Xenopus tropicalis: one gene and its partners. The protein of the gene in region 2 purifies or fractionates together with the protein of the main gene of each other region. This does not show direct contact. Links are inferred from orthologs where the notes say so. Each region holds a gene or a part of one and is shown on either strand. Other genes may lie near its edges.

Region 1 (3,547 bases), on a different chromosome or scaffold from region 2:
AAATATAAAATATATAATTAAATACATAAACAACTGTAAGCAAAAAAAAAAAAAATTAAGACTATTTGTAAAAACAGATTAATTCCAGATCCAATACAGTTTAATTATATATAAAAATCCAATATAGTTGCATTATATATAAAAATATAAAAAATATGGCAAATAGTTCGGACACTAGAGGCTTACCTCTAACTTTTGATGCAGAAGAGGGTGCAGCTAGAGCAGATGTGGAGGGTGAAAATGTACCAAACGTCTCTGTCATTACAGAACCTGCTTCTCCGGCTAAATCAATATTGGAGGTATTAGCAGAGGTATATGAAGAATCCTGGCTTAAAAAGGTTTCATCTTGTAAAGTGTTTGAATGAGTTCGGGGTGTTGAACAGTTGCCTTTTACCAGAAATCTATTCATTATTATGTTCTCTTGCTTTACTTGTTTACCAGTGCATCCCTGCATTTTTGCAATCTTGCTGGTGGAGGGGTTACTTTGTGGCGACATGGGAGGTGAATCCAAGACAACCTTTGAAAGATGCTGCCTAAAACATACAAGAAAAAAAGAGTTGTAATTTTATTTAAAACAGAGGAGACCTGCCCACATTGTAGTAGATATTTAATACAGTTCACAATTAGTCATTAATTTTGTGTATATTATATATATATATATATATATATATACACACACACACATACATATATGGGATCCATTATCCAGAAAGTATGGGATCCATTGTCCAGAAAGTTCTAAATTAAAGGAAGGCCATCTCCTATAGGCTCCATTATAATCATATAATTCAAACAAAACAGTATCTTTTACTTTATACCAGCTAAGACAGTGCCCTTTCTCAGGGACAGGACTTTTTTTAATAGAACTTTTGTCTTTTGGCACTAAGTCCCTGTGTGTGGAACCCTTTCTCTCTCTGTATATTACATTTTTTTTTTTTTATTTTTTTTTTTTATACATTTCTAACATTTTTTTTAAACTGAAACCAACACACTCTTGCTGACAGTAAATCTGTCAATTTCCTCTGTTCTAATTGGATAATTCCAGCAATAGTGAACAATAATAATAAGAAAACCTATTTGTGAAAAAGAAATAAAGCATGCAGTATATTTGGGTGCATGTTTATAACAATGACAAATCTTTAAAGGAAAACTATACCCCAAACAATGTAGGTCTCTAAAAAAATATATTGCATAAAACCTGCTTCATCTAAATAAACCATTTTCATAAAAATATACTTTTTTAGTAGTATGTGCTATTGGGTAATACTAAATAGAAAACTGCCATTTTAAGAATTAAAGAGATACTGACACCAGAAATGAAACCTTTTTTACATCTGTCATAATATTGTCTCTGCATGCTATTTATTATTTTGCCATAAAAGTATTTGTCCAAGCTTTTACATTCACTATCTGATCCCCCATGTTCCTCTATGAGGGGGCGGCCATATTTGTCCAGCAGGTGGCCATTAGCATTAGAAGCTGTAACTGACTGGCTGAGAAGGGACAGTCAGGCTGGCAAAACAGTCAGGTTTTGGGATTTCAAGTAACAATTTCTTACAAAAGCAAACCTATCAGCAAAAAATGATCAACACGACCTATAGGCAACTTTTTATGTAGATTCATAATTTAAAAAGTTGTTTTTTCGTGTCGGTATCACTTTAAGGCCGCCCCCTGGGATCATAGGATTCACAGTGCACACAAACAAGCCAAGGCACACATACATGCTAGGCCCCATCAGCCAATTAATGGGCAGAGTTCTGCCTTTTGCTCCCACACTACTTCCTGTCAGAGCTGCATTATTTCTGGTCATGTGATCTCTGAGGGAGCACACAGCCCATCACTAAGGGCCTTGACAGACGGGGAGATTAGTCACCCGCGACAAATCTCCCTTGTCCCAGGAAACTAATCTCCCCGAAATGCCATCCCACCGGCTAGAATGTAACTCACCGGTGGGATGGCATACGCGGCGCGGCGATTTGCCGAAATCGCTGAAGTTGCCTTGAGAGGAAACTTCGGCGATTTCGGCACCGCATATGCCATCCCACCGGAGATTTACATTCTAGTCAGTGGGATGGCATTTCGGGGAGATTTGTCACACGGCAACTAATCTCCCCGTCTACCACAGCCCTAAATGGCGACTCAAGGGAAAAGATGTAAAAGAGCTAAATTTACTGATATATATATATATATTCCAGTTTAGCAAAATTCTTTAATAGGTCACTTAACAAAATATAAACTGTTTATTAGGTATTTATTCTGGGGGTATAGTTTTCCTTTAACATATGCTGTTTTGCTTTAGAACAGGAAACATCAAAGCCTGTTTTGTGGTGTAAGTCTTATGGAATTGTTTTACCATCTGAAATGATTCAAGACTAAACCCATATCCATCCTCTGGATAACTACAGCCAGTCCAAAATATCAAATAAAAACAGCCAGGCCTCCCAGGTAGGTACTCAAAGGACAAGGTCAAGTAATAGAGGGAACAGTTGTGTGTTACAAACAAATAAGATGTGGCAGAAGACCTAATTTCACATGACTTTACATAATATTGAGTAAAGGAGTAGTAGTGCAGAAAGCCATATGTCTATATAAAATCTTCTAGCTAATCTTTTTGCTTCAGCTAGCCATACACGCACAGATATTGTTGTGAGGTACAAGGTTAAGTACCATTTTCAGGAAAACATTTTTGAAAGCAGAATATGCAATCCAAAGTTTTCCAGAACAAGGTTTTGGAAAAAATACCATTAAGCAGCCTTACCTCTAATAAAAACAGAAGATTCTGTTTCTCATCTCTAACTGTAGACATCAAATGGCACTGAATACTAATACACTTGCATATACTTGGCGTTTCCATCGGATCTAAATTTGTCCTCTTTCTAATGACATTAAATTATGAGATAAGACTGATCAATGTAATTTCAGTCGGCCATAACATCTGACCTCCACAGAACTTACTAATTATACCGAATCTGTACGGAATCTCTACGGAATCGCAGCTTTATTAATTAAAATATTTGTGCAGATCAAAGCATTTCCACACTACTGTATATGTATGTATAAGTGTGTGTTATTTCTGTTGCTGATGTTAATTTCCCAGAATGCAAGGCAGTAGCAGCAAGACAGAGATGGACATACAAGTGTGATATGCAGAACTGAGCTGCAGTTATTATATCAGGAAACCCTGCAATTACAGATACCCTACAGATCATATCCTTTCCTTTCAGTAGGGATGCACCAAACCTACTTTTTTTGGGTTTGGCCGAACCCACCCTGGCAGATTCTGCTGAATCCTGAACCAAATTCGAATTAACATATGCTAATTAGGATCGCTGCACGTGCGGCAAATTTTTTTTACCATGACCATTTAACCCTTTCCAAATACTAATTAGCATATGCTAATTCTTACTAATTAGGATTCAGACGAAACTGAATCCTTCAAAAAAAGCCTGGATTTGGCCCGAATCCCGAACCGAATCCGGGATTCGGTGTGCAGGGACCCATAAGATTTAGCGCTCCTATGGCTTTAATCCCCTACTAGTTCTTTCTA
Region 2 (4,144 bases):
GTGTCCCCAAGGAAGGCTCAAAGCAACCAGCACAGCAGTGTCCCCAAGGAAGGCTCAAAGTAACCAGCACAGCAGTGTCCCAAGGAAGGCTCAAAGTAACCAGCACAGCAGTGTCCCCAAGGAAGGCTCAAAGTAACCAGCACAGCAGTGTCCCCGAGGAATGCTCAAAGCAACCAGCACAGCAGTGTCCCCGAGGAAGGCTCAAAGTAACCAGCACAGCAGTGTCCCCAAGGAAGGCTCAAAGTAACCAGCACAGCAGTGTCCCCAAGGACTCCCTTCCAGGGGCTGAACTAAAACGTTTGCTTTTGAGAGCAGGAAAGAACAGACGCCCGGCCTCCCACTTCAAAGGACAGTCAGCAGAACTGTGACATTTTAGCTCACAAATACATTTTACTGTAATGTCATGCACAGTTTGGGAGCCAATTTCTTCTTGCCGATATCCAGTATGCAACTGGTTGCTAGGGTTGAGCGATCTAAGCAACAGGGTATTTTTTTTGAATGTGAGAAAAGACTAAATCAGAAAGGGCAACTCCCGGTATCCCTGGGCAGGGAGGGACTGCAGGTGCCCCACAAGGGTAATTTTATTAATTTAGCCTTTAAAAGGGCATTCTACACGCAGGGCCAATATATGGAATATATGAACGCCCCCCGGCACGTTCCCACGTGGGGCAACTCATACACTGGCTGCCATATTGCATAGCACCCCCATTACCAACTCCCCCCCAGCCCCAGCAAGCAGCAGCCATAAGGGTGAAGACACACAGAGCTACTAGTAGCAGCTACTTGTCACAGCTACTAAAACAGACAGTGCTGATCATTTACTGATAATTGTCTCTGTGTGTGTTTAGCAGAGGGAATTCTCAGTATTGTCTAGCGTTAAGTAGCCATTAAAAAGTAGCTGCTACTAAGACTCTGTGCTTCTCTCAGCAGGGGAACACACTGAGCAGTGAGACAAAGGCGCTGCCCCACCACATAACATTTCCCACAGCGAGACACTCACATATCCTGGACACACAGTCACACCCACCCGGCACTCTCACACCTTCTGTATCACACACCCCACCCACTGCTGCCTCTGCCCCAACTACAACTCTCACTGCCCAACAGTCCTTGGAAGCAAATGAGGGACACAGGTTTGATAGCCGTGGGCAATAAGCCTGAAGCGCTCAACTGGTCCATTCACCGGCTTTGCAACCCTCATACAGAAAGTACCCGGCAATACCCCCAAGTACTCCTACAGTTCCATCAGCCTGTTCCCCTGCCCCCATTGGCACCTACATGCCCACACACCTGCCCCCATTGGCACCTACATGCCCACACACCTGCCCCCATTGGCACCTACATGCCCACACACCTGCCCCCATTGACACATGCCACCCATGCCCATGCCCACACACTGCCCCCATTGGCACCTACATGCCACACGCCCCATGGCACCTACATGCCACACACCTGCCCCCATTGGCACCTACATGCCCACACACCTGCCCCATTGGCACCTACATGCCCACAGCCCTTTGGCACCTACATGCCCACACACCTGCCCCATTTGGCACCTACATGCCCACACACCTGCCCCCATTGGCACCTACATGCCCACACCTACATGCCCACACACCTGCCCCCATTGGCACCTACATGCCCACACACCTGCCCCCATTGGCACCTACATGCCCACACACCTGCCCAATTGGCACCTACATGCCCACACACCTGCCCCACCCCACACCGCCCATTGGCACCTACATGCCACACACCTGCCCCCATTGGCACCTACATGCCCACACACCTGCCCCATTGGCACCTACATGCCCACACACCCCCCACCTACATGCCACACACCTGCCCCATGGCACCTACATGCCCACACACCTGCCCCTTGGCACCTACATGCCCACACACCTGCCCCCATTGGCACCTACATGCCCACACACCTGCCCCACACCTACATGCCCACACACCTGCCCCATTGGCACCTACATGCCACACACCTGCCCCTTGGCACTTGCCCCCATTGACACCTACATGCCCACACACCTGCCCCCATTGGCACCTACATGCCCACAACTGCCCCCATTGGCCCCACATGCCCACACACCTGCCCCCATTGGCACCTACATGCCCACACACCTGCCCCCATTGGCACCTACATGCCACCACCTGCCCACTGCCCACACACCTGCCCCCATTGGCACCTACATGCCCACACACCTGCCCCATTGGCACCTACATGCCCACACACCTGCCCCATTGGCACCTACATGCCCACACACCTGCCCCATTGGCACCTACATGCCACACACCTGCCCCCATTGGCACCTACATGCCCCACACCTACCCCCATTGGCACCTACATGCCCACACACCTGCCCCCATTGGCACCTATATGCCCACACACCTGCCCCCATTGGCACCTACATGCCCACACACCTGCCCCCATTGGCACCTACATGCCACACACCTGCCCCCATTGGCACCTACATGCCCACACACCTGCCCCATTGGCACCTACATGCCCACACACCTGCCCCCATTGGCACCTACATGCCCACACACCTGCCCCCATTGGCACCTACATGCCCACACACCTGCCCCCATTGGCACCTACATGCCCACACACCTTCCCCCACTGACACCTACATGCCCACACACCTGCCCCCATTGGCACCTACATGCCCACACACCTGCCCCCATTGGCACCTACATGCCCACACACCTGCCCCCATTGGCACCTACATGCCCACACACCTGCCCCCATTGGCACCTACATGCCCACACACCAGCTCACCTGTAGGCCCATACAGGTACCACATACACAGAACAAGCCCCCCACACACCTACAGGCCCAGCCACCTGGCAGCCATATCCTGTACACCTGTAGCCCCGCCCACCTGTAGGCATATGCACCTGTACCCACAAGCCTCTCTCAGCTCAGCCTATCGGGACACACTGTACATCCGCTGCCGGAGCCACCTCACTGCCCCCCAGGTGCACCTGCACACACCCCCCTGGCGGTAAGGGCAAACACTGCAAGGCAACGCCCCCTCCCCCGTACTGAGAGAGCCGTACAGCCCCAAGCCCGCACAGACCCGCCGCCCTGCCCTCACCTGAGCTATTGTGTCCGGTAATTCCCTGGCACCGAGTCCCACGGGAGGCACTAGGGCCGCAACTGCTTCCTGGTTCCTCCACAGGGGAGGGCCGGCTCATTTACTATGCCTGACGCCTTGGAAACGACTGACAAATCAGCGCTGAGCCCTGAGCAAACAGGCCCCGCCTACACTGCCACGTGACAAACCAGCTGCCAAACCACGCCCTCTTCATGAATAATATATAACCCGCCGCAGCGTTCCGCCCCTGATCGCTCCGCATACCTGGCACACCTGTGTTGCACATAGACCCGCCCGTAACATTCCGCGCTAGGATTAAATAGTCCCTGACTGTGAGACGGATATGGGATAGCGGCTAGAGTGGCATATACACTGTATGTATGTGTTACTGGCTCTTTTTTTATTAAACGTACATAGTGATTTCTTCCACTTGGTATATGGTGTCACTTTATATGGGCACAGAACCCCTCAGTGACTGCTAATATCCTTATCATTTACAGTAGGGGGTACATTATCCCTTATAATACATGAGTGATACTCAGAGTTCCCTGTATAACTCAGCCTGCAGCCTTGTGCCTTTATATGGGGGGCACAGAACCCCTCAGTGACTGCTAATATCCTTATCATTTACAGTAGGGGGTACATTATCCCTTATAATACATGAGTGATACTCAGAGTTCCCTGTATAACTCAGCCTGCAGCCTTGTGCCTTTATATGGGGGGCACAGAACCCCTCAGTGACTGCTAATATCCTTATCATTTACAGTAGGGGGTACATTATCCCTTATAATACATGAGTGATACTCAGAGTTCCCTGTATAACTCAGCCTGCAGCCTTGTGCCTTTATATGGGCACAGAACCCCTCAGTGGCTGTTAATATCCTTATCATTTACAGTAGGGGGTACATTATCCCTTATAATACATGAGTGATACTCAGAGTTCCCTGTATAACTCAGCCTGCAGCCTTGTGCCTTTATATGGGGGGCACAGAACCCCTCAGTGACTGCTAATATCCTTATCATTTACAGTAGGGGGT
Region 3 (3,547 bases), on a different chromosome or scaffold from region 2:
ATACAAAATAAACCTAGAGCTGCTCTTCATTATTAAGGGTTTTGCATAATTACAAATGTTTGTGTCCCGCATTTATCTTGATTAGAATTAAAACTGCTGTATGCCAGGGTAACTTGCTCTAGAAATTAGGTGGTGATTGGGATTTCAAAATAGAACAGGAGCCAAAGACGATAAATAAAAAGTATAAAAAAGCATATTAATTCACAGTCAGTCAGCACAATTAGTCTTTAGTTACCTCAATAACAGCTAGATAGCAGTCTTTTGTGTCTGTGCACAGATCAAATATATTGCGCTTTACATCAATGGTGGCTGCAGAGACAAAAGTCATTTGCAGTTATTTAAACAGTGACTAAATCCCACTAAATACAAAATACCATGTGGATATAAAGGCTCACCTATTGGTTTATAATCGGTTGCATTAAAGGTTCGGAAGGAAGAACCAAATGGACTCTTCATCCTTTCCTCTAGTAGGTCATCCTCATCATCTGCCTGAAGCATGGCTGAAAGATCAGGAAAAAAAGGGGATCTGTATAACTGACAGATAAATGTGTTACTTATACCCATATGTAATAAAAGTCACTAAGTTTTCCAAGTAGCAGTAACCAATGGCAACCAATGAAATGTTTTCTTTTAAACACATGACTAATAAAGTCTACCTGATTGGTTGCTATGGTTATTGCTACTGGGCAAACTTAGTGTCTTTTATTGCATAACTCCCCTAGTCCTTTAGCAGCACAACAATGATGGTCTAATGTAACTTTTCAATATAGCATGACTTTAGGGCAGTGACAGACTGGGAGATTACCCCAGTCAAGATTTGCCGCAGCGCAACTAATCTCCCTGTCTGTCACTGCCCTTAAAGGGCACCTATCGGGGCTAATTTGTTTCCCCCCAACTGGAGTGCAGAACCTGTTAGCACTTATCTCTGGTGGTGCAAACAGTACTATTTTCTTTTGCACAAAAACAGTGGTAGGGTGTGCTTTGTTGCCTACATCGGAGGGGGCACCCGGTGTGGGCCCCCATATCTTGTCACATCCATGCACATAATGAACAATTTGGACATTAAGCCTTATTGGCATGCTTGTGTGCCAACATGACCACTTACACCAGGAGCTCACTCCTGGCCCAGATGACATAGCGCTCACAATCACCTTTCTTGGTCTCGCTCTCTATTTATTGTCTTGTGGTCAAAGTATAAATGCAACCCCTCCCTCACCTTGTTCTACTGTAATAAATGATGGGGCTTGGAGTCCCTCTGCTTTCCACAGTGGGTGGTGCAAAGATTCTCTGGAAAGCAGAGAGACTAAGCCCCAGGATCCATTTACTTTGGTTATCGAAAATCTAGATCAGGGATCCCCAACCTTTCTTATGTGTGAGCCACAGTCAAATGGAGAGCAACACAAGCATCATAAAAGTTCATGGAGGTGCCAAATAAGGGCTAAGATTGGCTATTAGGCTGCCTCTATGCACACTATCAGCTTACAGGGGCTTTATTTGGTAGGAAATCTTGTTTTTATTCAACCAAAACTTGCCCCCAAGTCAGGAATTCAAAAATAACTACCTGGTTTGGGGGCACTGAGAGCAACATCCAAGGGATTAGTGAGCAATATGTTGCCCCCGAGCCACTGGTTGGGGGATCAATGATACTAATTATGGACAGTATTCTAAAGTGTCATTGCAAAATATAAAGGGAACATCTATACATTAATTAGAATATACATACCTCCATACATAACAGTTCCAGTGTTATTGAACACAACACGACACTGGTCCAGAGCCGGCACAGTATGCAAAAGGTGAAAGGTTCGAAGGTCCCACTGAGCATTATATAAGGAAAAGGGCTTTAAACAGAGTGTAAAAATCTCATAGTAGGTCATATGTCACCCATCAGTTATTCCATTTTTTAAGATTGAATAATTAAAGTTTTGTGTCAACCCCAATTGTGTCAACCCCAAAAATAACTTTTGCCTAAAAAAAAAAAAAACAACGAACACTTAATTCTAAGCAACTTTGCAATATACATTCATTACATATTTGTAATGGTTTTTTTTAGTTATTTGTATATATAACTGCTATTAAAAGCAGTGTTTGTCTGTCCTTTCTATTCTCTGCCCTGGCATTTGAAACAATGTAACACAAGGAGGCAGACTGACAGACCTGTATTGCTGGAGAAGCCTGGTACTTGCAACATTGTTTAAAAAGTAACAACCAGGAATTTAGCAAATGCTGCTTTCTACAGCAATTACATTTACAAATAACTTTTAAAGCACTAATAATTTTAAATAAATTCATACTGCTTAGAATTATGTTTTCATTTATTAAGCAAAAAATTATTTTTGGGGTTGACATGTCCTTTAAGATATCAGTCTGGTGCAAGGATGTTTAACATGCAGCCCTCCACTTTTTGCAAATGGATAGTTTCCAGGCTCAAAAGCTGCAGTTCAGCATTAAGGGTAAATATAATCACAAACACTTCGCTCACTTACTTGGCTGCATGTTTTAAACAGCGTTATGTTAACAATATGTTGTAGAATACATTAGTAATATAGATGCACACTATTCGCAACACACATTACTAGTTTTGCCAGAGTTGCAATTTAAGATCAGTTTTAGGTGCACTTGAAAAATCCTTGTTCAGGATGTGCATTATTAAATGGTTAATGTGAATCCTATCCTCAAAAGACAATAGCCAAACTGCTCTATGTGTTACACACAGTTATTTGTTAATTAGCTTTAAAGCCGTAAGAAAATAGCAACCCAAGAAAACTAAACGCATTCATTTCTAAAGACTAATAAACTCCTTGTGCTCTCATGATTTAATAGGATACAATCTCTGTGTTCACAATGACTTCCAGGGCATTAGGGTGGAAGACACCACTTATGTTCATGTTGAACTTGTCAAATTTGTGTATGGCCTGGGCAGATCGCACATCCCACAAGACTCCATCATTCAGCACCAGGTCGTCAGTAGGATTGAAGGTAGCACAGTTGCGCTTGTAGTTATTTGCAAGATCTGAGTTGTACAGAGTCAGCAGCTTCTGCCCGGTCTGAATATCATAAATCTGCAGGATGGATAATTATTAAGTTAGAAACCTAGCATATGCTGTATTTTATCTGTAGGGGTAACTTTAAAACCTCCATAAAAGACTGCTTCATTAAACACGCCCTCAAGCTCTTAGCATTTAGGATGGCCGTCATGTTGTTAAAGGGGCTGTTCACCTTCAATGTCCCAATCTTATTAAACCATCAACAATGCTCGCATCATGTTAGAAAATCCGTTTTCCATTAAAAAAGGCCACAGTAAAAAATATTTTATACTGTTAAATCAGTCCTTTTTCTGTCTTTCTGATCAGTTTTCTGAAGGTATGGTAGTAGTCTATTTTAAACTTCCTTGATGCTTACATAATCATGTCCAGGCTTTGCTCTTTTTCCTATTTTTTTCCTATTGGACCAATTAATTGGTTGCTTGTGTACTCTAACCAGTTGCATAAACTGAAAAGGTCATTAGTTAATTTCTCCCTTGAAATTGCATATTCAAACAGACAAC

Evidence for each region. The genes of interacting proteins can lie anywhere in the genome.
Region 1: the proteins of llgl2 (region 2) and rad18 purify together in Homo sapiens (affinity purification with mass spectrometry; 3 studies listed by BioGRID and IntAct, counting the BioPlex papers as one, with this or other methods). This does not show direct contact. The link is inferred for Xenopus tropicalis from reciprocal best matches to the Homo sapiens genes LLGL2 and RAD18.
Region 3: the proteins of llgl2 (region 2) and dcaf1 purify together in Homo sapiens (co-immunoprecipitation; 3 studies listed by BioGRID and IntAct, counting the BioPlex papers as one, with this or other methods). This does not show direct contact. The link is inferred for Xenopus tropicalis from reciprocal best matches to the Homo sapiens genes LLGL2 and DCAF1.

Annotation. Positions count from the first base shown.
Region 1 is NC_030680.2:131,520,721-131,524,267, forward strand, and holds part of rad18 (E3 ubiquitin-protein ligase RAD18), read right to left. Parts: intron 534-3,547; coding exon 187-533; intron 1-186. UniProt on the Homo sapiens protein: E3 ubiquitin-protein ligase involved in postreplication repair of UV-damaged DNA. Postreplication repair functions in gap-filling of a daughter strand on replication of damaged DNA.
Region 2 is NC_030686.2:44,560,986-44,565,129, reverse strand, and holds the start of llgl2 (LLGL scribble cell polarity complex component 2), read right to left. Parts: upstream 2,825-4,144; 5' UTR 2,789-2,824; intron 1-2,788. UniProt on the Homo sapiens protein: Part of a complex with GPSM2/LGN, PRKCI/aPKC and PARD6B/Par-6, which may ensure the correct organization and orientation of bipolar spindles for normal cell division.
Region 3 is NC_030680.2:127,318,500-127,322,046, reverse strand, and holds part of dcaf1 (DDB1- and CUL4-associated factor 1), read right to left. Parts: intron 3,063-3,547; coding exon 2,829-3,062; intron 1,818-2,828; coding exon 1,724-1,817; intron 501-1,723; coding exon 396-500; intron 310-395; coding exon 236-309; intron 1-235. UniProt on the Homo sapiens protein: Acts both as a substrate recognition component of E3 ubiquitin-protein ligase complexes and as an atypical serine/threonine-protein kinase, playing key roles in various processes such as cell cycle, telomerase regulation and histone modification.